Xenopus tropicalis: one gene and its partners. The protein of the gene in region 2 purifies or fractionates together with the protein of the main gene of each other region. This does not show direct contact. Links are inferred from orthologs where the notes say so. Each region holds a gene or a part of one and is shown on either strand. Other genes may lie near its edges.

The links.
Region 1: the proteins of sos1 (region 2) and crk purify together in Homo sapiens (affinity purification with mass spectrometry; 6 studies listed by BioGRID and IntAct, with this or other methods). This does not show direct contact. The link is inferred for Xenopus tropicalis from reciprocal best matches to the Homo sapiens genes SOS1 and CRK.
Region 3: the proteins of sos1 (region 2) and shc1 purify together in Homo sapiens (affinity purification with western blotting; 14 studies listed by BioGRID and IntAct, with this or other methods). This does not show direct contact. The link is inferred for Xenopus tropicalis from reciprocal best matches to the Homo sapiens genes SOS1 and SHC1.
Region 4: the proteins of sos1 (region 2) and frs2 purify together in Homo sapiens (affinity purification with western blotting; 5 studies listed by BioGRID). This does not show direct contact. The link is inferred for Xenopus tropicalis from reciprocal best matches to the Homo sapiens genes SOS1 and FRS2.
Region 5: the proteins of sos1 (region 2) and eps8 purify together in Homo sapiens (affinity purification with western blotting; 5 studies listed by BioGRID and IntAct, with this or other methods). This does not show direct contact. The link is inferred for Xenopus tropicalis from reciprocal best matches to the Homo sapiens genes SOS1 and EPS8.
Region 6: the proteins of sos1 (region 2) and ptpn11 purify together in Homo sapiens (affinity purification with western blotting; 4 studies listed by BioGRID and IntAct, with this or other methods). This does not show direct contact. The link is inferred for Xenopus tropicalis from reciprocal best matches to the Homo sapiens genes SOS1 and PTPN11.

Annotation. Positions count from the first base shown.
Region 1 is NC_030678.2:46,095,057-46,099,919, forward strand, and holds part of crk (adapter molecule crk), read right to left. Parts: intron 2,489-4,863; coding exon 1,956-2,488; intron 1-1,955. UniProt on the Homo sapiens protein: Involved in cell branching and adhesion mediated by BCAR1-CRK-RAPGEF1 signaling and activation of RAP1.
Region 2 is NC_030681.2:42,908,551-42,914,098, reverse strand, and holds the start of sos1 (son of sevenless homolog 1), read right to left. Parts: upstream 3,610-5,548; 5' UTR 2,746-3,609; coding exon 2,641-2,745; intron 1-2,640.
Region 3 is NC_030684.2:145,090,507-145,095,369, reverse strand, and holds part of shc1 (SHC-transforming protein 1), read right to left. Parts: intron 4,719-4,863; coding exon 4,665-4,718; intron 4,387-4,664; coding exon 4,335-4,386; intron 4,238-4,334; coding exon 4,111-4,237; intron 4,020-4,110; coding exon 3,839-4,019; intron 3,760-3,838; coding exon 3,699-3,759; intron 3,483-3,698; coding exon 3,336-3,482; intron 2,731-3,335; coding exon 2,498-2,730; intron 1,780-2,497; coding exon 1,651-1,779; 3' UTR 1-1,650. UniProt on the Homo sapiens protein: Signaling adapter that couples activated growth factor receptors to signaling pathways. Participates in a signaling cascade initiated by activated KIT and KITLG/SCF.
Region 4 is NC_030679.2:59,097,372-59,102,545, reverse strand, and holds the end of frs2 (fibroblast growth factor receptor substrate 2), read right to left. Parts: intron 4,927-5,174; coding exon 4,763-4,926; intron 3,430-4,762; coding exon 2,473-3,429; 3' UTR 1,091-2,472; downstream 1-1,090. UniProt on the Homo sapiens protein: Adapter protein that links activated FGR and NGF receptors to downstream signaling pathways.
Region 5 is NC_030679.2:157,705-162,567, forward strand, and holds part of eps8 (epidermal growth factor receptor kinase substrate 8), read right to left. Parts: intron 1,822-4,863; coding exon 1,710-1,821; intron 1,374-1,709; coding exon 1,230-1,373; intron 1-1,229. UniProt on the Homo sapiens protein: Signaling adapter that controls various cellular protrusions by regulating actin cytoskeleton dynamics and architecture. Depending on its association with other signal transducers, can regulate different processes.
Region 6 is NC_030677.2:163,816,959-163,821,821, reverse strand, and holds part of ptpn11 (tyrosine-protein phosphatase non-receptor type 11), read right to left. Parts: intron 4,747-4,863; coding exon 4,624-4,746; intron 3,447-4,623; coding exon 3,252-3,446; intron 2,972-3,251; coding exon 2,779-2,971; intron 266-2,778; coding exon 149-265; intron 73-148; coding exon 1-72. UniProt on the Homo sapiens protein: Acts downstream of various receptor and cytoplasmic protein tyrosine kinases to participate in the signal transduction from the cell surface to the nucleus. Positively regulates MAPK signal transduction pathway. Dephosphorylates GAB1, ARHGAP35 and EGFR.

The DNA of each region.
Region 1 (4,863 bases), on a different chromosome or scaffold from region 2:
GGGACCTGTTATCCAGAATGCTTGGGACCTAGGGTTTTCCGGATAAGGGATCTTTCTGTAATTTGGATCTCCATAACTTAAGTCTACTAAAAACATTTAAATATTGAATGAATCCAATAGGAGTGTTTTGCCTCCAATAAGGATTAATTATATCTCAGTTGGTATCAAGTACAAGGTACTGTTTTATTATTACAGAGAAAAAGGAAAGCATTTTTAAAAATTAGAATTATTTGCTTATAATGGAGTCTATGGGAGATGGGCTTTCTGTAATTTTGAACTTTCTGGATAATGGGTTTCCAGATAAGGGATCCCATACCTGTAATAGTTTTGTTGTACTAAACAGCCAGATGGCTTAAAGGACCATAAGATTGACATTTTCATGCGTGACCAATTTTTAAGGTGGCAATTCATTGGCTGATAAAGAACTGGTGTACAGTGAGGCTCAGGGTCTTAACTAGGGAGGAAGGCGAAGCCCCAATGCCACTTAAGGCTAGATTTGGGTATAATGACTATATTCTTCTCTTCTGGAACCGCAACTTGAGCATAATTTAGATTGAGGTTATTTCCACTTAGCACATATTTGCTGTTGTAGATATTTTTGAAACAACGCCTGAAACGGTCATCATTTTTTTTTTCATATGTCTGACTTTTCATGAGCTCACGTACTAAAACTTTAAAGGAATGTTGCACCCCAAAGTGGGGTTTAAAACAATTAGGTCTGAAAATCACTGCTCTACACTTTCCACCTGATACATGTTGGCCAAATAGGTGGATGTGGATAACCCAATTGATTGAAACTGCAGGAAGAGAATCTGAACTGCAGTTCTTTTTCATTGCCTCATCTGCTGATCATTTTGGATTTGATAGAATTGCAGGACAATATGTCAGAAGGGCCTCCAAATCTGGCATACATGTCTAGATGGCTGGGAAGTATGGTTAAAATCAACTAATATTCCTGAACAAATCTGGGCAAGCTTTAGCATATGACAACAGTTTTAGGTGGTTTCATGTTCAGGCCTACTGATGTTCAATATTTTAGCTGTTCACTGCAGGGATTCTGTCATGATTTTTATGTGTAAATTACACTGTTTACATAGCAAATAATTCACTATCATTTAAAAAGTTATTGTTGAACCAACAAACATTTTTTAAGTTGTAATATTGGTGTGTAGGCGCCATCTCAGTGCATTGTGCCCGAGTCTGAGCTTTCAGAAGGAGCCAGCGCTACACATCAGAACTGCTTTCAGGTAACCTATTGCTTTTCCTACTCCCATGTAACTGGAGGAGTCCCAAGCTGGACTTGGATTCCTTACTATTGAGTGCTATTCTGATATCTCCTGGGAGCTGCTCCCTTCCTATTGTTCTGCTGATCAGCTGCTGGGAGGGGGTTATATCAGTCCAACTTGAAGCTCAGCAGTAAAGTGTGAGAAAATACTCTAAGAACCAATGGTGGAAATGAAACTTCACTGGCAATAATCTTAATACTCAATGGTTATGTAATAAAAGGTGCAACGTTTGTTACAGGGCTAGGCACCTACAGCAAATAAGCAGAAAGCATTTCCTCTTGGTTGCTACTGATTACTGCACCTGGGCAAGCTTTGTGCCATTAATTACATATGGGGATACATTTAAAACAGTGTTTAATAACTAACACAGGAGCTACTGTCTAAGATTTACTTGCCTTTAAATATGGCAGTATAATTTAAAAAAATATATTTAAAAATGCCTTACCTTAAAAAAGCATGGGCTTAAAATACATAGAGAAGGGTCATAACATCCTAAAGATACTGGCATTTACAGATTAAAGAATTAAGTGTGTTATCTACTTCAGCCTTGCATAGGAGATTTTACTCCCTGCATTGGCATATACTGCCCTTTGGTCTAATTAAGCTTGTGTATTGTAAAGGAAAATGCCTTTGGAAGAATTTTCCTTTCATGTTGTGCCCATTATATACCTCCAAAGCCAAGGCTGTCTTGTCGTAGGCATTAGGGACGCGCTTCTGGATAACCCTGGCAAAAATGGGCCCATTCTGAAGGTTAGGCAGCGGAGTGTTGACGCTGGGCTGGGCATAGGGCCCTGGCTCCGGCCCACCCAGTGGTTGCGGGTGCGAGTTTTCCTGGTTACCTCCAATCAGGGCTGACCCTGCTGAAGAGGGAGGCCTGTACTTCTCGACGTAAGGCACAGGTATCATGCCCCGTCTTCCATCGTTGTCCTCAGCATTCCACCACTGCTCCTCGGGCTTATCTCGAATTCTCAGGATGTCTCCTTTCTTAAATGGAAGATCTTCATCATCATTGCCATTAAAGTCAAAGAGAGCTCGCACGTATTCAACTTCTTCTTGTCTTTGGATTACACCAGATTGTTTAGACTTGGAAACTGGTTCTATTAAAGTTGTAGTGTCCAGGTAATGGATCTTATAAAATTCCAAAAGAGATGGTAAGGAATCAAACTCTTGGTCACCTATTCTGAATCGGGACTGGATCATTCCTGCAGAAGGAGGAAAAAACAAAACAAAAAAAGATCACAACATGTACTAGAAATCAGCACTTATATGATGATATATGATCTGGAATGCATGTATTTATAAGGTTGATAGAAAAAAGTGGGAATACCTGACCCAAACCTTAAAGGAACAGTAACACCAAAAAATGAAAGAGCTTTAAAGTAATAAAAATATAATGCACTGTACTGGTAAAACTGGTGTGTTTGTTACAGTAACACTACTATAATTTATATAATAAGCTGCTGTGTAGCCACAGAGGCAGCCATTCAAGCTGGAAAAAAGGAGAAAAGGCACAGGTTACATAGCAGATAACAGATAAGTTCTGTAGAATACAATGGTGTTTTATCTGTTATCTACTAAGTGCCTGTGCTTTTTCTCCTTTGAATGGCTGCCTCCATGGCTACATAGCAGCTTATTTATATAAATTATAGTAGACTTTCTGAAGTAAACACACAACTTTTACCAGTGCAGGGCAGCAGCACATTATATTTTAGTTACTTTTATACACTTTCATTTTTTGGTGTTACTTTAAGGTAGCCATACACGGGTCAATTCTAACTGCCGATATTGGTCCTTTAGAGATCTGTTAAGTGTTATTTCTCAAACAGTATCTGTCTGGCTGTGCCCATTCTAACATTTGAAACATTAGTAAAATAAAATATCTTCCAGGCAAGACAATTTGCAGTGAAACTGCACCAAAGAAGAATGTTTACATTTGTGGCTAAATATAAGATACAAAGTACAGAGGTGTTAAATATGGCCTACTCAACCACAAAGAACCTAGCATGTCCGGCAAATATACATTGTATTTTGCTACTGTTGAGTCACCATGAAAATATTACTGTCACAGGAAGGCACTGCACATTTCAACCTACTGATTCTTTGATGTCCTGCAATAGACATAACCTCAGATTTTTTCAAGCTCACTGAACACCCTTATATGAGATGCCCAAGTGTGTTCCTTAGCTGGTATTAGTTTTTATATCTGCCATCATAGGAAATTTATTGGAGGGGGGCTCTGCACAGATTCCACTAAGACTTTCAGGTAGCATTTTCACACCTAGACCTCGATTAAAACGGACCATACACTAAAGGCGAGGTCAGACAAAGAGTATACAGTGAAGAACATAAGTATCTGAACACTAGGGCTGGGCGATATACCGTTTAATACCGAAGTTTTTATTTTTTAAAACTATATTAATTTTTCAGATACCGCAATACCGGGGTGTCAAAGTGCACACACGTCAAAGCGTGCACGTCCGTGATGCGCTGACGGCGCCGGTTCTGCGTATGCGTGGGGGGGTATTTAAAGCTATCAAACGCCTCCTCCTGTGCTATGTTGTCTGCGGCTTTGCCTGGGAAACTAAGCCTGCCTGATTTACCTTACGACTTTCTGTTGCCGATCCTTCGCTTGCCTGACTCTGATTTTCAATACTGCAGTAATTATTCTCTAATTTATTAGGAAATGGGGTTAACACCTAATCATGCATGAAAAAAAAAATACAGTGACACCGATATAATTTTGAAAAATACTGCGATATAGATTTTTGGTCATACCGCCCAGCTCTACTGAACACCCTGCGATTCTGCAAGTTCTCCCACTTAAAAATCATGGAGGGGTCTGAAGTTCACATTGTAGGTGCATTCCCACTGAGAGACAGCATTTAAAAAAAATATTCAGGAAATCACATTGTATGATTTTTAAAGAATGTATTTGTATTGCACTGCTGCACATAAGTATTTGAACATCTGAGAAAATCAGTGTTAATATTTGGTACAGAAGCCTTTGTTTGCAATTACAGAGGCCAAACGTTTCCTGTAGTTCTTGACCAGGTTTGCACACACTGCAACAGGGATTTTGGCCCACTCCTCCACAAAGATCTCCTCTAGATTTTCTATTGGATTTAGGTCTGGAGACTGGCTAGGCCACTCCAGAACCTTGATATGCCTCTTACGGAGCCACTCCTTGGTTATCCTGGCTGTGTGCTTTGGGTCAAGAACTACAGGAAACGTTTGACCTCTGTAATTGCAAACAAAGACTTCTGTACAAAATATTAACCCTGATTTTCTCAGGTGTTCAAATACTTATGTGCAGCAGTGCAATACAAATAAATTCTTTAAAAGTCATACAATGTGATTTCCTGATTTTTTTCTTAAATGCTGTCTCTCACAGTGGGAATGCACCTACAATGTGAATTTCACACCCCTCCATGATAGGTAAAACTTGAAAATTGAAGGGTGTTCAAATACTTATGTTCCTTACTGTATCAACTTCTCTCAGCCTTGCACTTTTCTGCCAGGCTGAAAGAAGCGGGTCCACTTCTGTTCGCTTTGTCTGACTTAGCTCTAATGGTGAAGA
Region 2 (5,548 bases):
TTTGAGTGTCTAAGACATAACGTTTAAATTAAAAACATCTAAACAAATGAACTTAAAAAGATAAAAGAATTTATTGTTTTAAATAAAGGTCTTACAAACTTCTAAGTTATTGCCTCATATACCTCTAGCTCATCTGCCCAACTAAAAAGAAACTGCCGTATACTACAGTTCACCTGCTTTTCCTTTTATATTTTATTTTGCAAATATGCTAATGCTGCAAGCAGATGAGCAATGAAACCCTAAAGGTGAAAATCCCAAAGCAAAGGAATGTCCAGCACTGACCATAAAAACCAGGAGGAGTGCTGGGCACCAAAAAGATGTGCAACGGTCTGCAGGGCAGTCGCCTCCAATCAATGGTTCTGTGACATCAGGAATAATGTCATGCCAGCTCTCTGACCAGCACAACCATTAGCCCCCTCACTAGTAGCCAAACCCAGAGGACAGGCAGTATGTAGCAAGCTTCTCACTGGATAAGATCACTTTTTGTAGTCTATGACTCCCAAAATTAAACTGTTTTTTTAGAATATATGGAAAGGAATGGAAAGTGTAGATGTTCCACTACCTTACACTGCAACCCAATTCTGGTATGAAATAACTTTACGTAGAGAGTTAACATATGAAATAGGAACATTTGAAATTTTTGCAGAATGCAGTTATCCCATAGCATTGCCAGCATATGTCTTTCAATGTGTTACACATAAGCAAAAAGAATACACACATTTACAGACATGTAAGAAGTATAAATAATGTGCAATTTCAGGGTACCATAATGTATTATAAATGAGAATCTTCACTGCTATGAAACAATGAATATCTGAATTTTTTTTCTTTACTATTTCACATTTTTTGTTCAGGAGCTCTCTAGTCTGTCATTTCAACTGCTAAAACTAGTCTGTCACCAGATTGCTAGAATCATTGATCCAAATCCATAAAAGTCAAGAATTGGCCTAAATGACAGAATAGAAGACAAACAGAAGAATGGCTGAACAGAAATAAAAGACTGATTAAATATGACAATAAGAACCTAGCAAATACATGTATATACATTTGGTTGTTGGGCTTGGACCTGTGATTTTAGAAAATAGACATATGTTTACATTGCAGAGAAAAAAAAAATATAAATTCATAAAAAAATAATAATTTACTAAGTTTCCCTTTACTAAACCTGTCTGACATGACTCACTCAATTTTTCATTTTCAAAACACTTAGAGGAGGTCTAAAATTTAAACATTGAGGGGTACACTCCCCAGTGATTCTAACTGATATCCTCAGACCCTGAGCCAGAACTCTTCTTGGCTGAAAAACGTGGCAGCCCAGGTACTATTCCAGTGAGCATTGCAATGCCATTTTGCCAAACTTTCCCAAGGATCACTTTCTGTTGGTCTGGGTTGCATGCATGTGCAGACCTTTTATTGTAATGAGTATTACACTAGCAACATAAAAATTAGGTGTATATTTTTTTTTATACAAGTTTTTCATAAGATGTACAGTAATGTGACCGTTATGGCATTGTTCACCTTCCAGACACCAGCAATAATTTTATTCAATTGCTTTTTAATTTGTATTTGTGATTGGTATTCTAATATTGCTTTAAAACAGCTCTGGGAGAGGGTGGAGTCACAGACACTGTAACCTGTTCTAATTTGATATGTCAGTTACTACATTTCTTATCTTGGACTCTGCTGAGTATAATGCTGGAGTTTTATTAAAAGCAGCTAACATTCCACAGCTGCTGCTGATAAATGTATCAACTAATGTAGCAAAATGTAACAGTTCAGGGTCTGCACCTGGATTGCTGAGCTGCCAAACACAAGAGACAGTACCATTAAAGTTTAAACTTCAATTTTAGAAAAATATACATTAGAAATAATAAATAGAAGGCAATTGAAAAAAAAAAAAAAGCCTTGTTGCATCTGAAAATGTCTGTGCTGAAAAAAAAGTGAACAAACCCTTGAACCTGTGGGAAAGGATCATAGTTGACACCTACTTTTGCCCCTTGCAGTACTTAAAATCAGATCTGGCCTTGGTTTTAACAGACATCTAAATATCACAGCCATAAAGAGGACCGAGATTTCATTTCTGACTAGTTGGACCAGCTAAGTTCCATTATACATATCCATTTAATTAGTGTGGAGTGTGAATAAGGCCAGTGACAGGGGACAGCTGTAGTCATTTGACTTTTATGTAAAAGGGGACTTAAAACCCACAAATACAATGCTATCTAATGAATGAAAATTTTAAGAAACTTACCAACATGCAATTCATTAAAATGAAATGATTGGTTTTAAATGTATTTGTGCATGCAATTGCAACTGAAAACTGTATTTTTGTACCATCTCTTGATACTATGTAGCAGAAGCATGATTATTTGGAGGTCTGTTAATTAGCTGCCTTCTGCTACATTGTTTAAAAAGACAGGCCTTGGTATACAAAAGGTCAAGCAGAGTTTTACTTTTCAATAGCAATTACATTTACAAATAACATTAAAACCATTGAAAATGTGTAGCTGAATTATATTGGAAAGTTTATAGGCAGAGTTTTTTAAGGTTCCATGTAACAAAACAGCCTGTGGCCTCTGGGTGTTGCAGAAATAGACTGGTTTGTCACAGGTTGAACATCCATGTTGTAACCCCTCTTACCTTTTTCAGGGCACCAACCAGCAGACCCTTCCATTTGGGGGAGTTCTCCTCACTGAAGAAGTCGTACTGAAACTGTGGGGCCTGCATGACGGCTTCCCTCGGCATTTGTAGAGCTGGGGGCGGATTATCCTAATCCTCACAATGCCAGGTGGGGGAGAAAGGCGCCTGCCAGGTAAGGAGACTGGGTCCTTCAAGTGGGGGTGCCACTTATGCTCCCCCGCCCCGCCAGATAAACTCCACCGCCTTCCAAATGAGCAGATGCCGGCTTTAAGGCAACAAATGATCCATAAGGGTGGGGAAGTTGAAGAAGTTGCCCCTTAAACGGGGCAGCATAGGGCGCACATTTCCCCTTTGGGAGAAAGAGAAGGAGGGGGGCGGCTCATGGACACCGCTTGCACTTGACAGCTGCCTGTACATATATGACAGCTGTGTGTATACATAGGAGATGGGTGGGACTAGGCCGGAGGCACGCACTTGCTTACTCCTAGTCCCGACCTCTCTTAATTCCGGGGTGAGCTAGGAGGCCGCGGATGGAGGTGCGATTCAGGGGCTGCTCTGCCCTCCCGGGCCCACACAGGAGCTGCCAGCGCGCCGCCCCGTCTCTCTGCTAATAACAAAGGCAGACTGGGAAGCTCCAGTGGCGCAGCGTTCTCCTTGAGCATCCAGAAAACGGGGGTCTGGACGGGCGTCACTGGATAAAAAAAGACACCCCGGTTCCCCTCCCTGTTGTCTGCTCCTTCGCCGCCCCTCCTTGTTTACGGCCGACTTCTCTTTCCCTTAGCAGCTCGACCCAGCCTGTGGTAATGATGGCGCAAGAGGACTCTTGATGCGTCACTTTGTTATTATTTTTGTTGTTAGTTTATTCCCCCCACACTCTCGCCAGACAGCAGCGCTCAGCGGCCGTTGGAACAGACTTGTATTGCGACTGCGCGCAATCTAGGGGGCGACAGAAGGGCTGCCTGCCGCCGTCATGTGACCACCGACCTTAACTCCGCCTACGCCTGATTTAGCCACAAGCGCACCACTTTTTTTTTTTTCAAATAGCTTTATTATTATGGTACTATACCTTTGATCAGCGTACTGCATACAAATATGCTGCTCAATACATTCAATGTATTTTCATATAAACCTGCAGTATTGGGGAAACCTTATACATTTTTTGCTTCATTCTCTTGATTTTTCAATTTATGTCAAGTTTACTTACCACAAACCCCTAATTTGCAGGGATAGTTCTGATATTTGTTCCTTGTAAAGCATCTTGTTAGTTTTTAAAACTGTGTACAGTGTCAGACTGATGTGTCTGGGGCTCACTGGGGCTGCCACCTCAGGGGGCCACCCAACCCCAGTCTGAGCTCCTCCACTGCCCCATCCTCCACCCACATGCAGCTTGCGCGTGATATCAGTTCCGCAGTGTCCTGACCCTGTACCTCTAAACCTGCCCCCAGCTCTATCACCAGATTTCCTAAGGAAATCTGCGGGCAGAGACTGGGTGCATTTTTTTTTAAATTATAAATCTAATATATAGGCACTATGTAGCTCTCGTTTTTTGCTATGCTTTAAGGATGGCTCTAAGTGTATAGCCCCATGAGAGGAGACACCAACCCAGTAGTGTAACTACATGTTACTGGGCCCCACAGTAAATTAAATTTAGGACCCCAAAACATTAGTAAATAAATGTATTTATTTGTTAGGGGCCTAAGAAGACTGCTTTAGTAATCTTTCTTTTAAACCTACCTTGATACACACATCAATTTCTTTTTACTTTTTTTTGTTTTTTTGCCCTAAAAGTCCTTTTTGACCAGTAAACAGTGTATCTACTTTTTTCAGTTTATTTGTTTTCAGATAGTACACCAGATATAAAAACTTTTCAGTTGCCATTTTTTTTTATTTTTGACCGGTTTTCTAATATTGAAGTTCAAAGTGTAATTTTTCATCTTCTCATCTCTCTAAAAATCCTCTGGGAAGAGGTCACTATACACTACTCTAATTTCATACATTAGTTATTACATTTCTTACATTTGGCCCTGCGGAGCATAATTTCTGAGTTAAGAGTTGCTAACATTGCACAGATACTGCTGAGAAATGTATCAACTAATGCAGTGCTGTCCAACTTCTGTGGTACCAAGGGCTGGAATTTTTCCGTCATATATGGTGGAGGGCCGATAATGGAAGCTCCCCTTTTTTAAATCACACCCACTTGCTGCCTGTGTGTGCCATACTCTGCCTGCCCTACGCTGCCTGTGTGTGTCATACTCTGCCTGCCCTACCCTTCCTGTGTATGCCATACTCTGCCTGCCCTACCCTGCCTGTGTGTGCCATACTCTGCCTGCCCTATACTGCCTGTGTGTGCCATACACACAGGCAGGATAGGGCAGGCAGAGTATGGCACACACACAGGGTACGACAGGTAGACTATGATGACTGCTACTAGTATGGCTACTAAAATAGACAATGCTGATGATTTACTGATAATTGTCCCTACTCCCTACGTGTGTTTTAGCAGTGGCAATTCTCAGTATTGTCTATGGCAGGGGATTTTCTGGAGATTAGTAGCCATGAAAAGTAGCTGCTACTGGAAGCTCTGTGTGTCGTCACCCTAAGGGTGAAGACACACAGAGCTACTAGTAGCAGCTACTTGTCATTGCTACTAAAATAGACAATGCTGATTATTTACTGATAACAGTCTCTACGTGTGTCTTAGGAGAGGCAATTCTCAGTATTGTCTATGGCAGGGGATTTTCTGGCGTTTAGTAGCCATGGAAAAGTAGCTGCTACTAGTAGTTTTCACCCTAAGTGTACATTTTTTATTATCTACAGTTTGAGTTTCTTGTGTTTGGGACATTGGCTGATGAGATTTGTTTCCCTTGGAAAATTTGCGCTACATGTGAACGACAGATCTTCTGAAAAT
Region 3 (4,863 bases), on a different chromosome or scaffold from region 2:
GGGCAGTGCTCATAGCAACCAAATCAGGAAGATACTAAACATTCATTTGAAGGTATGCCCCTTTAAAAGGACAATAAATGCAGGGGGCGGAGCTAGTGTAAAAGCCACCATCTTGTTTATTTTTCTCAGCGCGCCCAGTCATTTCCCCCAACACAGGGCAACACAAAGGAACCCTGGGAAAATGAAACAAGATGGCAGCTGTGACATTGTCCCCGCCCCCCCCTTGTTTAGGTTGGGCCCCAGAATAAGCCTGGGAGTGAGGTTTGGGCCCCAAACAAAGGACTGAGTTGATTGTTTTTTGGTAGAGAAATAAGAATGTATGATGAAGGGGCGGTTACCCAAACCTACACAGGGCCCTCCCTCTATTAAAAATATAGTTGTTATAGGAAAATTTCCCCTTTAATATGACCAGCATTGTCCAATACAGGCTTCAGACTTGCCTCCCCCTGTAAATGTTGTGCTATGGCCCCGCCCCCTGTGAGCCAGCCAATAGCATAACTCCAGCTGGAGGGCTGCAAGCCTGGAATACAGACAGCATCGAGTCCCATGCCCGGGTATTGCCAGGGCAGATTGTCTGTGCCAGGGGTCCAACTGACTGGGGGTAAGTGCCAGCACAAGAATAGCAATAACCTGTATAGGGTTAAACCCAGTGACTGGTGGGCGGGCCCTGGGGCCACACTGCAGCTTGCCCATTGATAGAGGAGCAGCATTGCACAGAGAGACCCGCGTGAGAGACAACCTTGCCCCTGAGACTGTCCCAGCTTGGGGGGAGAGGTCTGACGTGTGTGTGTTCATACTGTTGGCTGTGGCCCCTCGTGCTGGGGGGCCCACAATGGAAGGAAGAGACTACAGGTCCCAGGTGAGTGTGCAATCTTCCTGAGCCCTGGCTAAGGCACAAGGTACAGAGAGGTGGGGGGGGCAACACAGCACTGGCATAACCCCCACATGCCAATCAATTGCCCCCGGGCAGGTAGGGGGCATTGTCAGCTGGAGACGGACGAGAAGTAACTTGCAGGATTCACACGGATTTGCCCTTCTGCCCCCACTGAAGCTTGTCCATCCCTCCCCCAGAGGAAGCACGTTACAGGTCGGGTAAAAATCAACCAATGGGGAAAAAGCACAGACAGAATGGTTTCACCCCCTTCTCTGTCAGTTGTGGTACAGTCCCAGGGTGGGGGCTAGGCATACGTAGGTACAAGAGCCACCCCCCCCCCCCAGTCACAATGTGCACTTATCTACCTGCTGGCTGAGAATGGGGTCACTCAGGGTAAAGGCACTAGAGAGGATTGGCCGGATGCAGCTTGGAGTGTGTGCTTGCAGGGATCAGCCTGGCATTGTGCTGAAAGGAGACACTGGCAGTGCCATGGAAGAGTCTGATCCCAGGAGTAAGGCCCATCTGCTCATTGTCTGCTCACTGTGTCTGCAGGGGCAATGGCCTTAGCTGCTTGGGGCAGTTCAGACATGCTGCCCCGGCCGAGGTGAACTGCTGGCCGACAGAATACGTGGGGCACTCTTGGCCAAGCTCGGGCCCCAGGAGGCTCCTCCTACTACAGTAGGGCTGGCCTTGCTCCGTAGAAAGGAAAGACAGGAGGTGGTGGGGGTAGTGTTGGTGAAGGCTCAAGTGTGAAGGGGCGGATCCCAGGGGCGGGGTCACTGTCTCCGCTCCACCGGCTGCTGAAGGCAGAGCTCGCTCCCAGCAGAAATAATAGGCAAGCGATTGTCCATGTGATAGCTGATCAGGTGACTGACGCTCTCAAACCTGTGGTCTTTGGTTCGAACCTGGCAGGAGGCAAAGCGGGAGTTAAATGGGAGGAGTCCTGGCACAGACCATTCCCTCACACCCCTCAATTCAGCCCTTAGTGCCCCTGGCACAGACCATTGCCTCACACCTAGGGGTTCCTCAATTCAGCCCTTAGTACCCCTGGCACAGACCATTGCCTCACACCTAGGGGTTCCTCAATTCAGCCCTTAGTACCCCTGGCACAGACCATTGCCTCACACCCCTCAATTCGGCCCTTAGTACCCCTGGCACAGACCATTCCCTCACACCCCTCAATTCAGCCCTTAGTGCCCCTGGCACAGACCATTCCCTCACACCTAGGGGTTCCTCAATTCAGCCCTTAGTACCCCTGGCACAGACCATTGCCTCACACCTAGGGGTTCCTCAATTCAGCCCTTAGTGCCCCTGGCACAGACCATTGCCTCACACCTAGGGGTTCCTCAATTCAGCCCTTAGTACCCCTGGCACAGACCATTCCCTCACACCCCTCAATTCAGCCCTTAGTACCCCTGGCACAGACCATTCCCTCACACCCCTCAATTCAGCCCTTAGTACCCCTGGCACAGACCATTCCCTCACACCCCTCAATTCAGCCCTTAGTGCCCCTGGCACAGACCATTCCCTCACCCCTAGGGGTTCCTCAATTCAGCCCTCAGTGCCCCTGGCACAGACCATTCCCTCACCCCTAGGGGTCACAAAGCTGAGCCTTCTACTTACCACTCCTTCAGGGTCCACAAGCAGAAGGTGTTTGGGCTGCCCACACTGCAGGCCGGTCAGTACGTACTGCCCCGGGGTGGTGGTGCTCTCCCTCACCAGGAAGTCCCCATTCACTTTCAGCAGCCTCTCTGCTTCCTTGCGGTTCATCTTTCCGTGGTACCAAGACTCCCGCTTCAGCTGATCCTCCATACTGACTACTGCCTGAGCCGAGGGCAAGGCGTCCTCAAACGGCTCTACAGGGGCAACGGGAAAGTTAGTGGTGGTACCAACAGCGTTAGTGCCCATTGGGTCTAGGAGAGACTGACCCGCAGACATGTCGGTACCATTAGTGCCCATTGGGTCTAGGAGAGACTGACCCGCAGACATGTCGGTACCATTAGTGCCCATTGGGTCTAGGAGAGACTGACCCGCAGACATGTCGGTACCATTAGTGCCCATTGGGTCTAGGAGAGACTGACCCGCAGACATGTCGGTACCATTAGTGCCCATTGGGTCTAGGAGAGACTGACCCGCAGACATGTCGGTACCATTAGTGCCCATTGGGTCTAGGAGAGACTGACCCGCAGACATGTCGGTACCATTAGTGCCCATTGGGTCTAGGAGAGACTGACCCGCAGACATGTCGGTACCATTAGTGCCCATTGGGTCTAGGAGAGACTGACCCGCAGACATGTCGGTACCATTAGTGCCCATTGGGTCTAGGAGAGACTGACCCGCAGACATGTCGGTACCATTAGTGCCCATTGGGTTTAGGAGAGACTGACCCACAGACAAGTTGGTACCATTAACACAAGGTTGGGGGGGGGGGTAACAAATGCAGGTTACGAATGGAACGCACTCATGTCGAAGATGTCCCTCTGGCCGTTTGCTGCCCGCAGAGGCTGCCGAGACTTCTCCAGGTTCTGGACATTGACGTAGGAGGGGTCATCGAAGAGATCGGGCCGATTCGGAGGCCGACTGCAGGGGACTGGAAATCTCTCCCTGCCTACGGGGGACAAGACAGTGTGAGTAATGAACTACCCCCACCCCATGAAGGGTCTGTAGCTTGGGGACATTTAGGGGAACCAAAGGGAGGTATATGGTCCAAGTACAGTAACTAACAGGGGGAGGAGCTATACAGCCATCTCCAGTAGGACATGCAATGTGGGGCTGCACATTAGGCACACAGGCAGATGGTACACTGGCCACTAGTGGCTCCTACCTTGCACTGTCGGCTGTGGCTTCCTGGAATCCTGTTCGGCACCAGAGACCTGTCCCACGGGCTGTGGGAGAAAGGAAAAGCTCAGCCCGGATCATGTTTCCTACAGCACCCTCTCTTCCTCTCTCTGCCCATGAACTTACCAGGGTGGCACCCATGTGATTTGGGCTTTGCCTAGGAACTGCCGGTGCTACCCCATCTCGCAGCCGCATATCTACTACTCCCCCAATAGGGGGCTCTTTCCCTGGGAAATCATTGTAATAGGCATGGTCTGGGAGCTCCTCCTCTTCCTCATCCCACGCCGACCCATCAAAACCAGCCATTCTGCCGGGAGCACGCAAGGGGAAGAGACAAAAGTGAAATTCCCTGACTATTCCTCTTACTTACCCTTTATTTAATAATGAGAGGCACTTACCTGTCATGGGGGGTGACCAGTTTGGGGGGATTTTTGAGGTATTGTTTGAAGCGTAGTTCAAAGGCCTGTCCTATTGTGCTGATCACGTCCTGAGCAAGGCCTTCTGGGCACTCCAGGATATGGCAGGCTGTGAGAGAGCACAGATGTGGTGACTCCTCCTACTGCAAGCAGCAATGGCTATATATATATATATATATATATATATATATATCTCTTGTACCCACCTCTCTGATTGACTGGATCTTTGGCCACATAAGCGACATACTCAGCTGTATCCTAAGGGGAACAAGAGAACGGATTGCAGGACAAGAGAAGCCTGTATGAGCCCCGCCCCCCAACTCCTATCCATACATTAGCTCCGCCTATTTCATACACCATTAAGCTGGCCATACGTGCTCCTATATAACGGTATGAAACAAAGATTGTTCCATTATACCTACCATTGATATCCAAAGGTTCGCCGTATCATAGCTAAAACTCATCCCCCTCCCATATACAAACACCCTCCCCCTCCCTCCCATATACAAACCCAGGCACACAGCCCCAGCACTTACGGGATCTCCCCCAGAAGCAAATGATATTGACTGCATGTGGTGGTTGGCGATGATCTGTAATGGAGGAAGAGACAAAGGCTGCAATTATTATCAGATTCCCCCTCTGCTGGAACCCAGAGGCCTAGAATGGTAGCCAGCGTGGCCAACCTCAGCAGGGCTAGTAGGAGGTCACATGACAAGACCTGTACAACATGAGGGC
Region 4 (5,174 bases), on a different chromosome or scaffold from region 2:
ACAGTACTACCTATACAAAAAAAAAAAAATATACACATACAATGCAGCAGACCAATAACCACAGCTTTTAAACACTACATAAGAGGCATATTTATCAAAGGGTGAACACAGAGCCGACCACAGCTCTGCAAGAAAAAAAAATGCCACTGTCATCTATTCATTAGTGTAGGATTGTTATAGGCATGTTAATAAAAGTATTAAAATTAAGTAAACACTATTTATAGACAATGCTTAAAGAAACTCAGCATGGCATCCATCTGTAGAAGTGCTGAAGACAGGAGTCACACCCTGTTGCCACAGAAAGTGAATTAAAAAAATATACAAGAACCTATCATCACTAAGTTGCTCTGACCCACCTAACCGTTCTCCCCCTCTCTTCCCCCTTTCTTGTAAATATAAACAGGAAACACTATTTACTAAATGGTTCTCAATACAGTAAAGCAACACAGTACTAAACAATGTTGTGAATATGCATAACACGGTAACTAACAGGCTTTTGCTTCTGTTCCCCTTTTTTTTCTCTATGCATGTCACCCTGATTTATGTTTATATTTGAAAAATGAAAATAAAGTATAAAAAAAAAACCCAAAACCCTGTTTTGGTGGACAAACGTACGTTCATCAGAATGATTAATGATAAGGCTTGTGCCTGTGTATGGTCAAGTAAAGCTTTGACTAAGGGGCAGAGCTTAATAAATAAAAACTCATGTTGTACTCATTCCTATGGGATTTTCAGAAGCGGTGTAAAAGTTAAGAGTTCACCAATTGATAAATACCCATTGGAATAATTAGAACATGGGTGAGAGTTTTTACATATTAAGCTATAAATTCATATTTTGAAATATATGCCCTGAATGTCAGCCATCTGAATGCAGTAAAAATGTTTAACTGCTGAATACTCATCACCTGGGGGTCATATCTACTGTTTTCAGAGGAGCACTAGATGGCAATAATAATTCATCATATGGTCCAAAGAGCTTTTTATAGTGAATGCAGGGGTATTTTCAATATACATAATACACATTTTGAAAATTATGCAGTTAGCCTAAAAGCAATTTACAGTGCATATAAATAATCACAGTGTAAATCCATTCTTTGGTTTCTGTTTAATATATGGCAAAATTATACTAGTAACATTAAGTACAAAACACAATATTAGAAAGCCTTGTGTAAATCAGTATTTTATTGCCATGCTACAAAAATGATGTTGGCACCAATGAAGTGACAATATTGTCAATATCAAAATATATATATATGAGTATTTTAAATGAACATCTGGTAAGCAATGTCAATATCTGAAAATGCAAACCAAACACATTAAATTAAAGGCTAGTGTTCAAATCAAGAACATTTTTTAATGAAGATAATGTTTCTGCATAGTATCTCTTTTGCTGAGCCCTGCAGTGCAATGTTTCCAGCAACCCACTGCTCTACATTGTGTTGCATATGAACTGTCACTACTGCAGGGCTCAATAGTAACACAGTATCATGGAATGTTTAGTGCAGATATTAACCTAAGAGACTTTAGAAAAGTTGTCATAATATTTGGCAATGTGCATTGCCTATTTCATTATTAAAAAAAGGAAACTCAAATATTGCCTACACTACCTTTATACAAAAGTTGCTATTTATATACTTTTATGTAGGAAAAAATTAAACATTTTGTAGTTTAAAGTAGAACATACAGTAATCTTACAATATAATACAATGGGATAAACAAAGAGAAATATTGTTTGGCCTTTATACAACTGTAAATATCTGCATTTAATAAATGCAACCCAGGCATAATGTAACTCACATATTCCCTCCCCCCCACAAAAACATGTAAAAACTAGAATCCTTTGCAACCAAATATCTGCAAAGGACTTTTTAATGCAGGAGGACATTTTGGGAACATAGCTTGAATAGTGCTTTGCGTGCAAAAAGCAACATGCTTGTCTGAATGCAGCATGTTGCACGGCTGTAATACAGCACTTTTTATTTCATGATCAAAAGCAAATGTACACTTGTACTAATGTCCATAATGCAAAATGCTGGTGAGAAATATTTGGCAAATTCCTGGCATTATTAAAAAAACAATTAGTATAAAAATACATACTGTATATATATTTAACACATTCATACTGGAAACATCCCCAAAATTAAAATGCATCTGCGGCTTTAAATGGCAACAGTCTAGATGTAAAATATTAAAGGCAAGTGTCTTTTATGTTGATAAACTTAAAACTGGCATATCACTGCAAGTCTATTCAATTAAATAGGCACAAAAATGCAGCTATGCAGCTATACAGTACATATGACTACTGTAGTGTGAAAATTATTTTAGGAGTACCTGCTCTACATCAATTCCCTTTAGACAAAAGCACATGTAAAATTTAGTCTATAAAAGTGTTAGTGTATAAGATGGGTTTTTTTTGTGGATTTTCTAAAAGAAATATCACAAAGGTGCAAAATGAAGTAGCGTGCTTGAGGCTCACATGGGTAGGTCAGTACTGTTATGCCTTGTCTTTCTAGACGTACCATCATCTCTTGGCAGTGCTTTTTGTAAGTTTGACATGGCAGCAGTCCTTTCAATATCTATCACAGCATATAGCTCCGTACGCCTCGTAGGAGTTTGTGGGAGTGGAGTGGTCGGCGTTTTTGGAGTCTGGGGGTTATCAGAGTCACTGCCACCTTCCAAATCAACCTGTATGTAATTAAGCTGCCTTTGTTCCAGACTTGGACGCCTTATATCAAAATTGAAGACTGTTGGTGTGCAGTCCCGACGTCTAGAAAACTCTACTTTGTGAGCACTTAATGGAACAGTTACATTTTCAGTGTTCACGTAATTATGCATTGGGTCTAAGTTACTATGAAACCCATTTAAGGATGGAGTCTTTGGTCCTAGTGATTCATCTTCCTCTCTGCTGGGTTTCCGAGTTTCCCAGACTGGAGGAAGGGATGGTAAGTTTTCATAGTTTATCAAGGCAGTTCTCCTCTGTGCAGAGTTATTTACATTTTGGATATCGGTGGGAATGGGCGGTACCACTCGTCCCCTTCGCACCCCAGATGATGAAATGGATAATCCATTTAAATTCTCATACACCATTTTATTGCCAGGAGTTTCTCTGCGTTCATCGCTGTCATAACCAGTGTCCCCTTCTGTGTTATTTGGACAACTGCTTTCACCATTGTTTACACTAGCTTGGTTTTGCTCAAGTTTCTCCAGTTTCTTTTTCTCCATTAACTGTCTCTGAACAGGTGTTGGTCCTAAAACAAACTTCACTCCTTCAGGCTCAAGAATAACCTGTGGATCTCTCTCAGGAACAGCAGGTTCACTGTGGCCATGGATTACTTCAAGGTTGGAAACACAAACCTCCTGAGCAGGTGGAATATTTGGCCTCTGTTTCTGATCCTCCTGTACTCCAGAAGTGTTAACATATGTATGCACCTAAACAAAAAGGAAAACATTAAAATGTAAAACGAACACACAGGTAACTAATTACAGTTATCTTTATCTGCAATGTTGCCGTCATTAAAAAAAAAAAAAAACTACGAATTGCACTATCCTTTAGAACAGTGCTGTCCAACTGGTGGCCCGCGGCCCCCCTCTGTGTGGCCCCCCACCTGTCTGGCTGCTTTGATGGCTTACCTTGGTGTAAGCTTTAAATGGTATCAGTACTGGCCCCCTGCATGGTTAAAACCTCAGATTCAGGCTGTAAACCCCCTGTATTGTTTAAAAATTTAATCCACTGTGTTGTTCACACCTTTTAATCCCTGCATTTACAAAAAGTTTGTATCCTAAGATTATATGTTAAAAAACAGACTAACAGAGAGCCCTATTCAAGTGTGCTTTCCATCAAGAAAGAAAGAAAACCACTGCAGACGATTATATTTTCTCTGAAAAATGGGAAGTGGAAAGCGAAGGAGTGGCTTTTAAAGCCACTGCTCCACTCCCAGACTCAAAAAGTACAGCAGAACATAGAATCTACAATACGTGGCACATAGGTACTTTTATTCACAAAATGTAGATTTTACGTTATGTGACACAAAGGGTTACGGTGGTCAGAAATATGGTCTTGCAGTATAACTGGTTTCAACTTAAATGACTAAACACTAATGGCTGTTTGTAGCCATAGGCATGCAGCTTTGAAAAACATCCTCCAGAACTAAACTGACTTGCCTGTCTTTCCATTAGTGAGTGTCTGTGACATACATAGACCAATGGCCATACACCTTAATTATACAGGGGTAATCACATAAGGGGGCTGAAACACAGGCAAAAATTTTTATTGAGATACTGTACTGTCAGGCACCATTTTGGTATATTTTTCTAGAAAAGGTGGCAACCCTAAGTCTGATATTGAAACTAGCTGCAAGTAGCTTGTACTATATGATCTCCCTGTGTCTGCATCATATCATCAACTGGATATTTCCTCCAACATTAAAAAAGGAAAAAAAAATTGGCTTCATGAAATTGACCCTAGTGTGTTGTGGAAATTTAATAAACTGTAAGATCTGCTTGGGCAGGGATTAAATTGAATGATGATTAAACTCTTTAAAGGCGCTGTAATTTAGTACATATAACATATCAAAACTGTAAATTAGATAAATAATAAAATGAAATAAATTTACCTGTACCAAGAACAAAAACAAATACAGTTTTAGAATATTTTATTAAAAAAGTGATAAATTCATACCTATATTGCAATAAATAGCAATGTAATTAAGCTATAACTACAATACTACTTTAGAAGGGAGGGATATATTAACCTCGCACTTACATGGTCTTCAGGGACAAGTAAAGGGTGTGTAGATTCTTCACCAACTGAAGGAAGGCGTGTGCTACCCACAGAGGGATGTCTGCTTGATGGGTGCGAGGATGCTTCACCAAAGGATGGGTAGCGGGGGTAGCCATTTGGGACACCTGACCCACTAAATCCAGGGGCTACAAGGGGAGCAAATTTAAGGAAAACAGATTTTAATTTGTTCATATAAAAGTAATAAACACTCGAGGTCTTTATCCTTCAAATAAATATGGTCTACTTAAATATTTTGTGCAATGGGAAAAACACACACATACACACACTATATAAACAATGCAATAAATACCTTAACCAGTTTTAAAATCCTTTTCAGCCATGAACACACACATTTATGCATATTTATAAAAACAAAATTCCTTCAACAGCAAGG
Region 5 (4,863 bases), on a different chromosome or scaffold from region 2:
TAGCATGGAAACAAAATTAAAGGAAAACTATACCCCCAGAATGAATGCTTAGCCAACAGACAGTTTATATTATGTTAAGTTGCCTATTAAAGAATCACCCCAAACTGGAATATATATATCAGTAAATATTGCCCTTTCCCTTGAGCCGCCATTTTGTAATGGGCTGTGTGCTCCCTCAGAGATCAGCTGACAGGAAGTGATGGGCTGTGTGCTCCCTCAGAGATCAGCTGACAGGAAGTGATGGGCTGTGTGCTCCCTCAGAGATCAGCTGACAGGAAGTGATGCAGCTCTAACTGTAACAGGAAGTAGTGTGAGAGCAAAAGGCAGAACTGCCCATTCATTGGCTGATGGGGCCTAGCATGTATGTGTGCCTTGGCTTGTTTGTGTGCACTGTGAATCCTATGATCCCAGGGGGAGGCCCTTAATTCTTAAAATGGCGGTTTCCTATTTAGGATTACCCAAGCGCACATACTGCTAAATAAGTATATTTCAATGATAATGGTTTTACCCCCCCAAGCTTTATAAAGGTGAGCGCAGTAGGGAAGAAGGAATTACCTGAGACAGTTCTCCCAGTAATCGCTGTGGGTGGGGGGGAGAGAGAGAGTCAGATATAACACAACTGGCACCCAAAGGAGAGCCGCCATATTGCTCTTACACACCCAATGTCTCCATAACATCCACAGGCCAAGACACTCCCACCTGGGAAACCAAAAGCCCCAGCAACCCAGGGGGATTGAAAGCCACATCCTCTCTGAGAAAGGTGTGGCCCCAGGCCCCCCCAAAGGCCCAAATGAACGAACAAAAGAGGCACACAGGGAATTCTGGGAAGGGACAGACATGCAAACACAGCACACAGGGAATTCTGGGAAGGGACAGGCATGCACACACAGGGAATTCTGGGAAGGGACAGGCACGCACACAGACAGATATACAGGTATGTACCATTAAGGAGAACACACAGAAGGAATAGGGAGGCTAAAGGAAAAGCAACTTTGAGTCAGTGCAAAGGTAGAAGTGAATGATCAGAGGGGGCACTCGGGGAAGTGGTACCTGGAAGATCTCAAACTCCTCCTTTGGCATCAGAAGCTACAGACAGACACAATCAGCACTAACACACAGCTTGGCAATATAATGGGGGCAGATTAATCAACGTGTGACATTAGAGGCTGGGCTGTGTGTGTGCCGGGGGCACCATATCAGGTGGTACTGACCCAGGCGCTAGATGGTACCTGGATTGTGTGCGTGTACGCGGCTTCCATTGGCTTTGCTGACTGATCTTGTGGCTTCATTGCTACCAAAATATTGTTTGGCACAAAACCGACTGCCCCACTCGAGCTCCGGACTTTCCACCACTGCTTCTTATCATCGAGGACCTGGGGAAGTCACACAAGAGTCACATGTTTGCACTTTACTCTACAGGATTTGGGGGCTTCACTAAAAGCAGAACAACAGATTCCCCCCTTGGGATTTTTCTGGCTCCACCCAAGAGGAAAAATCAGTAGCTGTTAGGCTCCTCCTACATGAGGCAGATTCTCGGGGTGCGGATAAACTCCGCAAGCAAGGGACAGACACTGCTGTGCAAAGCAATTGGCAGAAATGCCTTTTTATTAGGAGGATGTTCTCTATACAAATAAAACAGCTTTTGGGTGGAGTTCCCCTTTAATGCCACTAGGAAGCAAACAACAAGCCATACAGTGGCCACACATTACCTCCAAGACATCATCTTTAAGGACAGAGAGTTCGTTTGAGTTCCGGGCCACAAAGTCGTACTTGCACAAGGCGTATCTCTGGGCCTCCACTTGGTCGCGCTCCTCAAAATTCCTTCAATAAAAGAAGAGGTTTAACTGAGCCAATAGGAAAGATCAGAACAGTTCATCACACTGTGTGCCCTGCTCATTTCTTAGCTGCTTGTTTATGGCAATGCCCAGATAAACAGGGGGGCCCGGGGCACTATATAGAGCACTAGATGTATGCTGTAGGCTTCCTACCATTCCTCAATCATCTTCCAGACACCCCCAACATGAGCCACCAAACAAGCCCAATCATTCCTCTGTCAGAAACCCCCAACATGAGCCACCCAACAAGCCCAATCATTCCTCTAGCAAAATCCCCCAACATGAGCCACCCAGCAAGCCCAATCATTCCTCTAGCAAACCCCCCCAACATGAGCCACCCAGCAAGCCCAATCATTCCTCTAGCAAAACCCCCAACATGAGCCACCCAACAAGCCCAATCATTCCTCCAGCAAAATCCCCCAACATGAGCCACCCAACAAGCCCAATCATTCCTCTAGCAAAACCCCCCAACATGAGCCACCAAACAAGCCCAATCATTCCTCTAGGAAAACCCCCCAACATGAGCCACCCAACAAGCCCAATCATTCCTCTAGCAAAACCCCCCAACATGAGCCACCAAACAAGCCCAATCATTCCTCTAGCAAACACCCCCAACATGAGCCACCCAACAAGCCCAATCATTCCTCTAGCAAACACCCCCAACATGAGCCACCAAACAAGCCCAATCATTCCTCTAGGAAAACCCCCCAACATGAGCCACCCAACAAGCCCAATCATTCCTCTAGCAAACACCCCCAACATGAGCCACCCAACAAGCCCAATCATTCCTCTGTCAGAAACCCCCAATATGAGCCACTAAACAAGCCCAATCATTCCTCTAGCAAAACCCCCAACATGAGCCACCCAACAAGCCCAATCATTCCTCTAGCAAACACCCCCAACATGAGCCACCCAACAAGCCCAATCATTCCTCTAGCAAACACCCCCAACATGAGCCACCCAACAAGCCCAATCATTCCTCTAGCAAACACCCCCAACATGAGCCACCCAACAAGCCCAATCATTCCTCTAGCAAACACCCCCAACATGAGCCACCCAACAAGCCCAATCATTCCTCTAGCAAACACCCCCAACATGAGCCACCCAACAAGCCCAATCATTCCTCTGTCAGAAACCCCCAACATGAGCCACCCAACAAGCCCAATCATTCCTCTAGCAAATACCCCCAACATGAGCCACCCAACAAGCCCAATCATTCCTCTGTCAGAAACCCCCAACATGAGCCACCCAACAAGCCCAATCATTCCTCTAGCAAAACCCCCCAACAAGAGCCACTAAACAAGCCCAATCATTCCTCTAGCAAAACCCCCAACATGAGCCACCCAACAAGCCCAATCATTCCTCATCACAGTATGGGTCAATCATCTGAGTCAGCAGCAAGAGTCCCCCCTCATTCCCAATCATATCATTACGAGGCTCACAAACCAATAATACATACAGTGCATCATTTCTCTGCACAGTCCTGCCCAATGAATAAGCCAGAGAGTTCCACTCTTTACTCAGCAAGATCCACTTTAGAAATACTGGGTTCTGAATCCTTTTTATTCTGCAGCGTGGTTCTTTAGAACTTTTTAAATTAGGTTAAGTGACAATGTTCTGATGGGGCCCAATAAAGTCTCTCCTCGCTATTCTCTACCAGGTGACACAGAACCCTCTCTCCTACACCTGCAGCTCTGGCCCAACCAATGGTCTCATTCTCACATTCTGCCCCCTGCAGCTGATTTCTGCCCCCTATAGACTTCTCTCTCTGCCCCAGAGACCCATGCATCTGCCTAATCCCACATGCCAAATGGCGCCTCTCTCTTTTGGCCCCAGGGCCGGGCTGCCTCTCCCAGGTCCAATACCCTCCTGCAGCTGAATGTAGCCCCCCGACTCTCAATAACCTGGGGGGCCTGCTGATACATATGGAGTCACTTACTGATCTGCAAATAAGCCAACGAGAAACCACAATGGTAGGAAATATTTTTATTGACAAAATGTATGCATTATATAATATATATATCTCTAAGATATGATCAAGTCTCTGGTAAATTAATTATTTTAGGGTTAGATTTCTATAATGTTCATGCAAATGTCTTTAATAAATTAACCTTCCTTATTTCTTTAGAAAACTCTGGCCAAATTCATTAAGGTCCGTTCCCTCCTCCCCATTAAGGTCCGTTCCCTCCTCCCCATTAAGGTCCGTTCCCTCCTCCCCATTAAGGTCCGTTCCCTCCTCCCCATTAAGGTCCGTTCCCTCCTCCCCATAAAGGTCCGTTCCCTCCTCCCCATTAAGGTCCGTTCCCTCCTCCCCATTAAGGTCCGTTCCCTCCTCCCCATTAAGGTCCGTTCCCTCCTCCCCATTAAGGTCCGTTCCCTCCTCCCCATTAAGGATGAATTATTTTGGTTTTATCAAGTCCCATATTCAGTATGGATACTCATAGGGGCAGATTTACTAATCCACGAATCCGAATCCCGAAAGGGAAAAAAATCGTATTGGAAACGAAAATTTTGCAACTTTTTCATCGCCGTCGCGATTTTTCTTATTTGTCGCGACTTTTTCATCGCTGTCGCGGTTTTTTTCGTATTGAGCGATAGTATACGGCGGAAAAACCAATCCGATTTTTTCGCGACGGCGATGAAAAAGTTTCAGGAAAATATACGAAAAAGTCGCAAAAATACCGATCATTATGAAAAAACGCATACAGACGCCTTCGGACCGTCCGTGGATTAATAAATCTGCCCCATAGAGTTGGGGTAAATAAGCCAAATTCACGTGGCAGAATTATAGGGGCACATTTGTACCAGCAGCAGCTTCGTACTGCAGTTATAAAATGCCCCCCACCATATGGCACTTTGTGTTGCTGCTCTGTGAGGTGGCAGCTGGCACGGTGCCCACAGACTGGCATTTTATGAGCTAATTCATGTCAGTGTTGGGCAGCTAGAAAGGCACCGGAGCTTTATAAGAAGGAGGGAAGGGCTGGAATCTCATAGGGTTATGGATTTGTGTCTAATTGCAAGTTGTGGT
Region 6 (4,863 bases), on a different chromosome or scaffold from region 2:
CTCTGCTGGCTTGCTAAGTTCCTTTACCCGGCTTTCAATTTCTGCAGCATTAATCCGCGTTGTGTTCAGTGGCTAAAAGAAAAGCTAAATTCTTAGCATATGGGTAAATAGGTACAAGGGGTTAATTGTCATGTTTAATTAGTCTTACCTGTTTTAGCTGCAGTACAGTTCCTAAAGTCTCAACCATAGGATTTTTTTTATAATGTTCCACGAGATCTGTCAGAGAGTCAAATTTCTCTCCCCCTCCAACATCATATTTTAAATCCTGGAGAAAGCAGAAAAAAAATGCAAGGTATCTGCATAATACAATAATTCAATATACTAAGGGGCTGATTTACTAACCCACGAATCCGACCCGAATTGGAAAAGTTCCGACTTGAAAACGAACATTTTGCGACTTTTTCGTATGTTTTGCGATTTTTTCGGATTCTGTACGAATTTTTCGTTACCAATACGATTTTTGCGTAAAAATGCGAGTTTTTCGTATCCATTCCGAAAGTTGCATAAAAAGTTGCGCATTTTTCGTAGCGTTAAAACTTACGCGAAAAGTTGCGCATTTTTCGTAGCGTTATAACTTAACGCTACGAAAAATGCGCAACTTTTCGCGTAAGTTTTAACGCTACGCAAAATGCGCAACTTTTTACGCAACTTTCGTAATGGATAGGAAAACTCGCGTTTTTACGCAAAAATCGTATTGGATCCGAAAAATTCGTAAAGAATCCGAAAAAATCGCAAAGTACCGATCATTACGAAAAAAACGCAATCGGACTCCATTCGACCCGTTCGTGGGTAAGTAAATCAGCCCCTAAGTTTGTGTCTCCTGGTTATGAATTATTTCAAAAGCCCAATCTAGTGTAGTAATAATTTGTGCTAAAACCACCAACAGAATGTGGCTAATATTAACCCCTTGAATGGGAACTAGTTTAACATACAACTTCGACCAGGCATACCCACATGGAAGCCTATGACATGGACATAAATACGGTTGACAGCAATTTATGCCACCATAAAGAGGGAAGGCTACAAAATTACCTTCCAGTTCCCATAAGGGAAGAATGTAGGGCCCTGCTGCAAAATATCAGGATGATATAGCACAGAGGAGGTCCATGACCATATAAAAGGCAAGACGGTAAAGAATGAATGCTTATATAAAGGTCATGGAACTCCCCCAAGTGACATCTAACATTCTCAGATTGTGTTATTTTTTATATGAAGCAGGTTTATATAAGTCATGTGACATATGACATCAAGCTTTTTTTTTTTATCTTATGAAACAAAAAGCAAAATTATATAGTAAATAATGTACCCGGTACAGGTATTGTAAAGTATAAGGAAATTATAAGTTACTGAGGAGATCCATGACCATATAAAAGCACAAGGCTAAAGGCAGAGTGCTTTTATACAGATTATGGAATTCTGAGGGGACTTCTAATGTCCTCATATTTTACTACAGGGGGAACAGTATTTACATTATTATTTATAATACACAAATTTCTGTGAGTCATGCGACTAATTATATCACTAAGCAGTGATTATAACTGATGACATCACTAAGCACTATTTACAATGATATAATTAATACCAGGAGTGAGATTATCAATAATTGTCCTGCCACCTAAAACCAGCAGATATGCCACAATTAATGAGAACTGTATCTTCAGCAGTCACAGAAGTTGAAAGAGATTTTTTTCCCCCTCTCTATTTGCTCCAGTCACAATTTATCAATGTGCAAATTTGCTTGTGGAGGAAAAAAAACAAACGTGCAACAATATGGTTTTCTATTTACTATAAATATAAGGAATGAACCAAATCCACAGATTTAGGATTCATCTGAAGACTAAATACACATCAAAAAAATTAACCAAATCCATATGCAAATAAGCAAGTGGCATACGAAAAAAATGGTCACCCTTAGTTTACAGTTATCTAAAGTCATGTAATATTAAAGGGATAATTAGGCCAGACATTGACACACACATAATTATATATATTGTATATATAACAAAATCGCGCCTATTTCACATTAGTTTTTCTTCAACAGAAACTGTTCACATTTACTGTGAACAGGAAAAAAGGGCTTGATTCCAAGATGAAATTAAATGGCTTTGCTATACTAAAACTTAAATCATAATAATGCAGTCAAAAGGATGAATATCCCTGCAATACTGCCAAGATTCATATCTATGGTTCCCTAACCTAATTTGTAACAGAGTAAAATATTACTTGAGTGTGTCAGCATTCAGCAAATGAATGACTTTAGTTGCACATTTTCTTTCTCTAAAGCAGGCTTGACCAGTCTCTCTAGATGAAGGTTTATGGCCAGATATTTTTACACCTTAACATTTGTAATATAATTATAAATATTAATGAAATTGCCAGCTTGCTCTGCAGAACTGTACAAGAGAAGTGTGTATACCTCCAGCGCCGGATTTCTTATCTGGGTGCCCCGAGGCTGCCCCCATTGCCCTCTCCCTGCGCATGCGCAAATAGCTGTCGTGGACAGCATCACTATGCAGCAGACAAAATGTAAAAAATCTGCCAGTTGAACAATACAGCATTTTAACTAACAATAATAAGGGGGGAAATATCAAATATCCAACTAGGCCAGCACAGAAATTAATTGAGGTTGCATTTAAGTACTCAAGATATCAAATAACATATTGATCTTTAATTAATCTTTAACATTAGTCACACTATTTAAGTCTTTAGTAAGAAGGTGGAATTGTTGTGCATTAATTAGGACAACATAAATATAAGCCCTTCAAATAGGATGTGTACCTGGCATCGTATCATAACATGTGTCACCTTGGACTTTCCATCATTGCTTTCTGCTTTGTCATCACCTGTCCGTACCGAAAGGACAAAATCTCCAGGGTGGCTTTGGCTTTCCCGCACCAGAAAGCTTCCATGTTTACCTTTCTCTGTCAACAGCTTCTCTGCTTCTTTCCCTGAAAGATGCCCATGGAACCACCTGCAGCCATATAATGTAAATTAACATAACAACAAAGACTTCCAAAAAGTAAATCATCTTTATCAATAAAGGCTTTTAACAGGCTAGGCTATTATGCTCTACAAGTGGATCAATAGATTTATCAATATTACCGTTTCAGGAGATCCACTTCTCAAGTGCATATTCTTAAACTGGAGACTAATTCATAAGGTAATACAAAGAATTTGAGAAGGACTTTGAAGGTTAATACATGAAAGAAAAGTCAAAACATGTGTCAAGGTGAAAAACAGAGCTCTCTCACCTCTCAGATGTTGGGTCTGCACAGTTTAGTGGATATTTCAGTTCAATAACATCACCATTCTTTTCTTTCAGTTGCCCATGGTGTTCCATATAATACTGAACAAGTTCAGCCAATGTTGCAAACTTTTCCCCTCCATACAAGTCATAATAATCCCCAGTATTCTGTATTTTTATGTGTGTCACAGCTCCGTTCCGCCTAAAATGCAAAATGCAGTTAATTTAAGTAGAGACAGACAGAAGAGACATGAAGAGTGGCCTTTAAATTTACTTTTAGTATGATATAGAGCAGTTCTCCAACCAGTGTCTTGTGAGCAACAGGTTGCTCACCACCCCCTTTGATGTTGCTCCCAGTGGCCTCAAAGTAGGTGCCAGTTTTTTAATTTCTGGCTTGGAGGCGTGTTGTGGAAGCACAGAAACACAATTTTAAACCAAGGAGACCTACTGCTCCTCATTTGGTATCCCCAAAGTGTTGGCTCACCAACACTTTTTACACCTGAGTGTAGCTCACAAGTAAAAAAAAGCTTGTGGATCCCTAATGTAGAGAGTGTTTTTCTGAGACAATTTGCAATTGGTCTTAATTTTTTATTTGCAGTTTTTAAATTTAGTTTTTTGTTCAGAAACAAAAAAATATTTTCCCTTTTATATTATAAACAGAGTGAGAGACTAGCATGGTTTTTCTTTCAATCTGTGTAATCCAGTATGTATGTGTAAGGTCAGATACTAATCATGCAGCTTTTCTACTGTCCTCTGATATTTTGCAACAGACAATGGGTGAAATAACAGCGAAGTATTATGTAAAACATGCATTGTAATTTATTGTATAGTAAAATTAGTTAGACTGCATATTTACGTGAAATAATGGCTCTTCCCTTTTCACTTTACACAGAGTAAAATATCAACTCTACATGCAAAAACGATGATGTGCAACTAGTATGATGTTACATATACCAATTACATGGAGAAAAACTAAACAGCAATTACAGCTTTCTTAACTGCTTTTTAAAAAATCCAGTGGATTAAGCGGTTTTACAGTGCTGCAATATATGTTTGGAAATATATCTACTAGTGTGTAATGTGCATTAAATTTGAGGACTACTTAAACAAATTTGGTCCAGCCGTCAGAGCGAGAGAACATAATTAATAACAATTTATACCTAATATTGTGAGTTATAAGATCACATATAGTAAAGTTGCCAGATGGGAAAACTTCCAGAAAATCCAGATAGAAAGGCTGCATTAGTTCCAAATTAAATATAATCAGTGCAGCTCAGAAATATACACTTATTAGAAGTGATCTTGTAACCATAACATTTAGATCTAATGCACATTGGTGTATTATAGAAGAAGATGGATTCAATTAACTGCATACGCACCTCACAGACAATGTGAAATCTCCTGGATTACTCTTACTGGGGCGAGCTAAGAAACTTCCATCCACTCCTCGGGTAAGTAGCAAATTTTCTGCTTCAACACCAGTGATATTAGGGTGAAACCACCTAGACCACAAAGATATGCAAGAGGAAAATCAGCTTCTAAGAAATAATTAGCATCTTTCCTTCACTTTTTAGGGTAATTTGTGCTTGACCTGCATTAAAAAAATGACAACATTACAG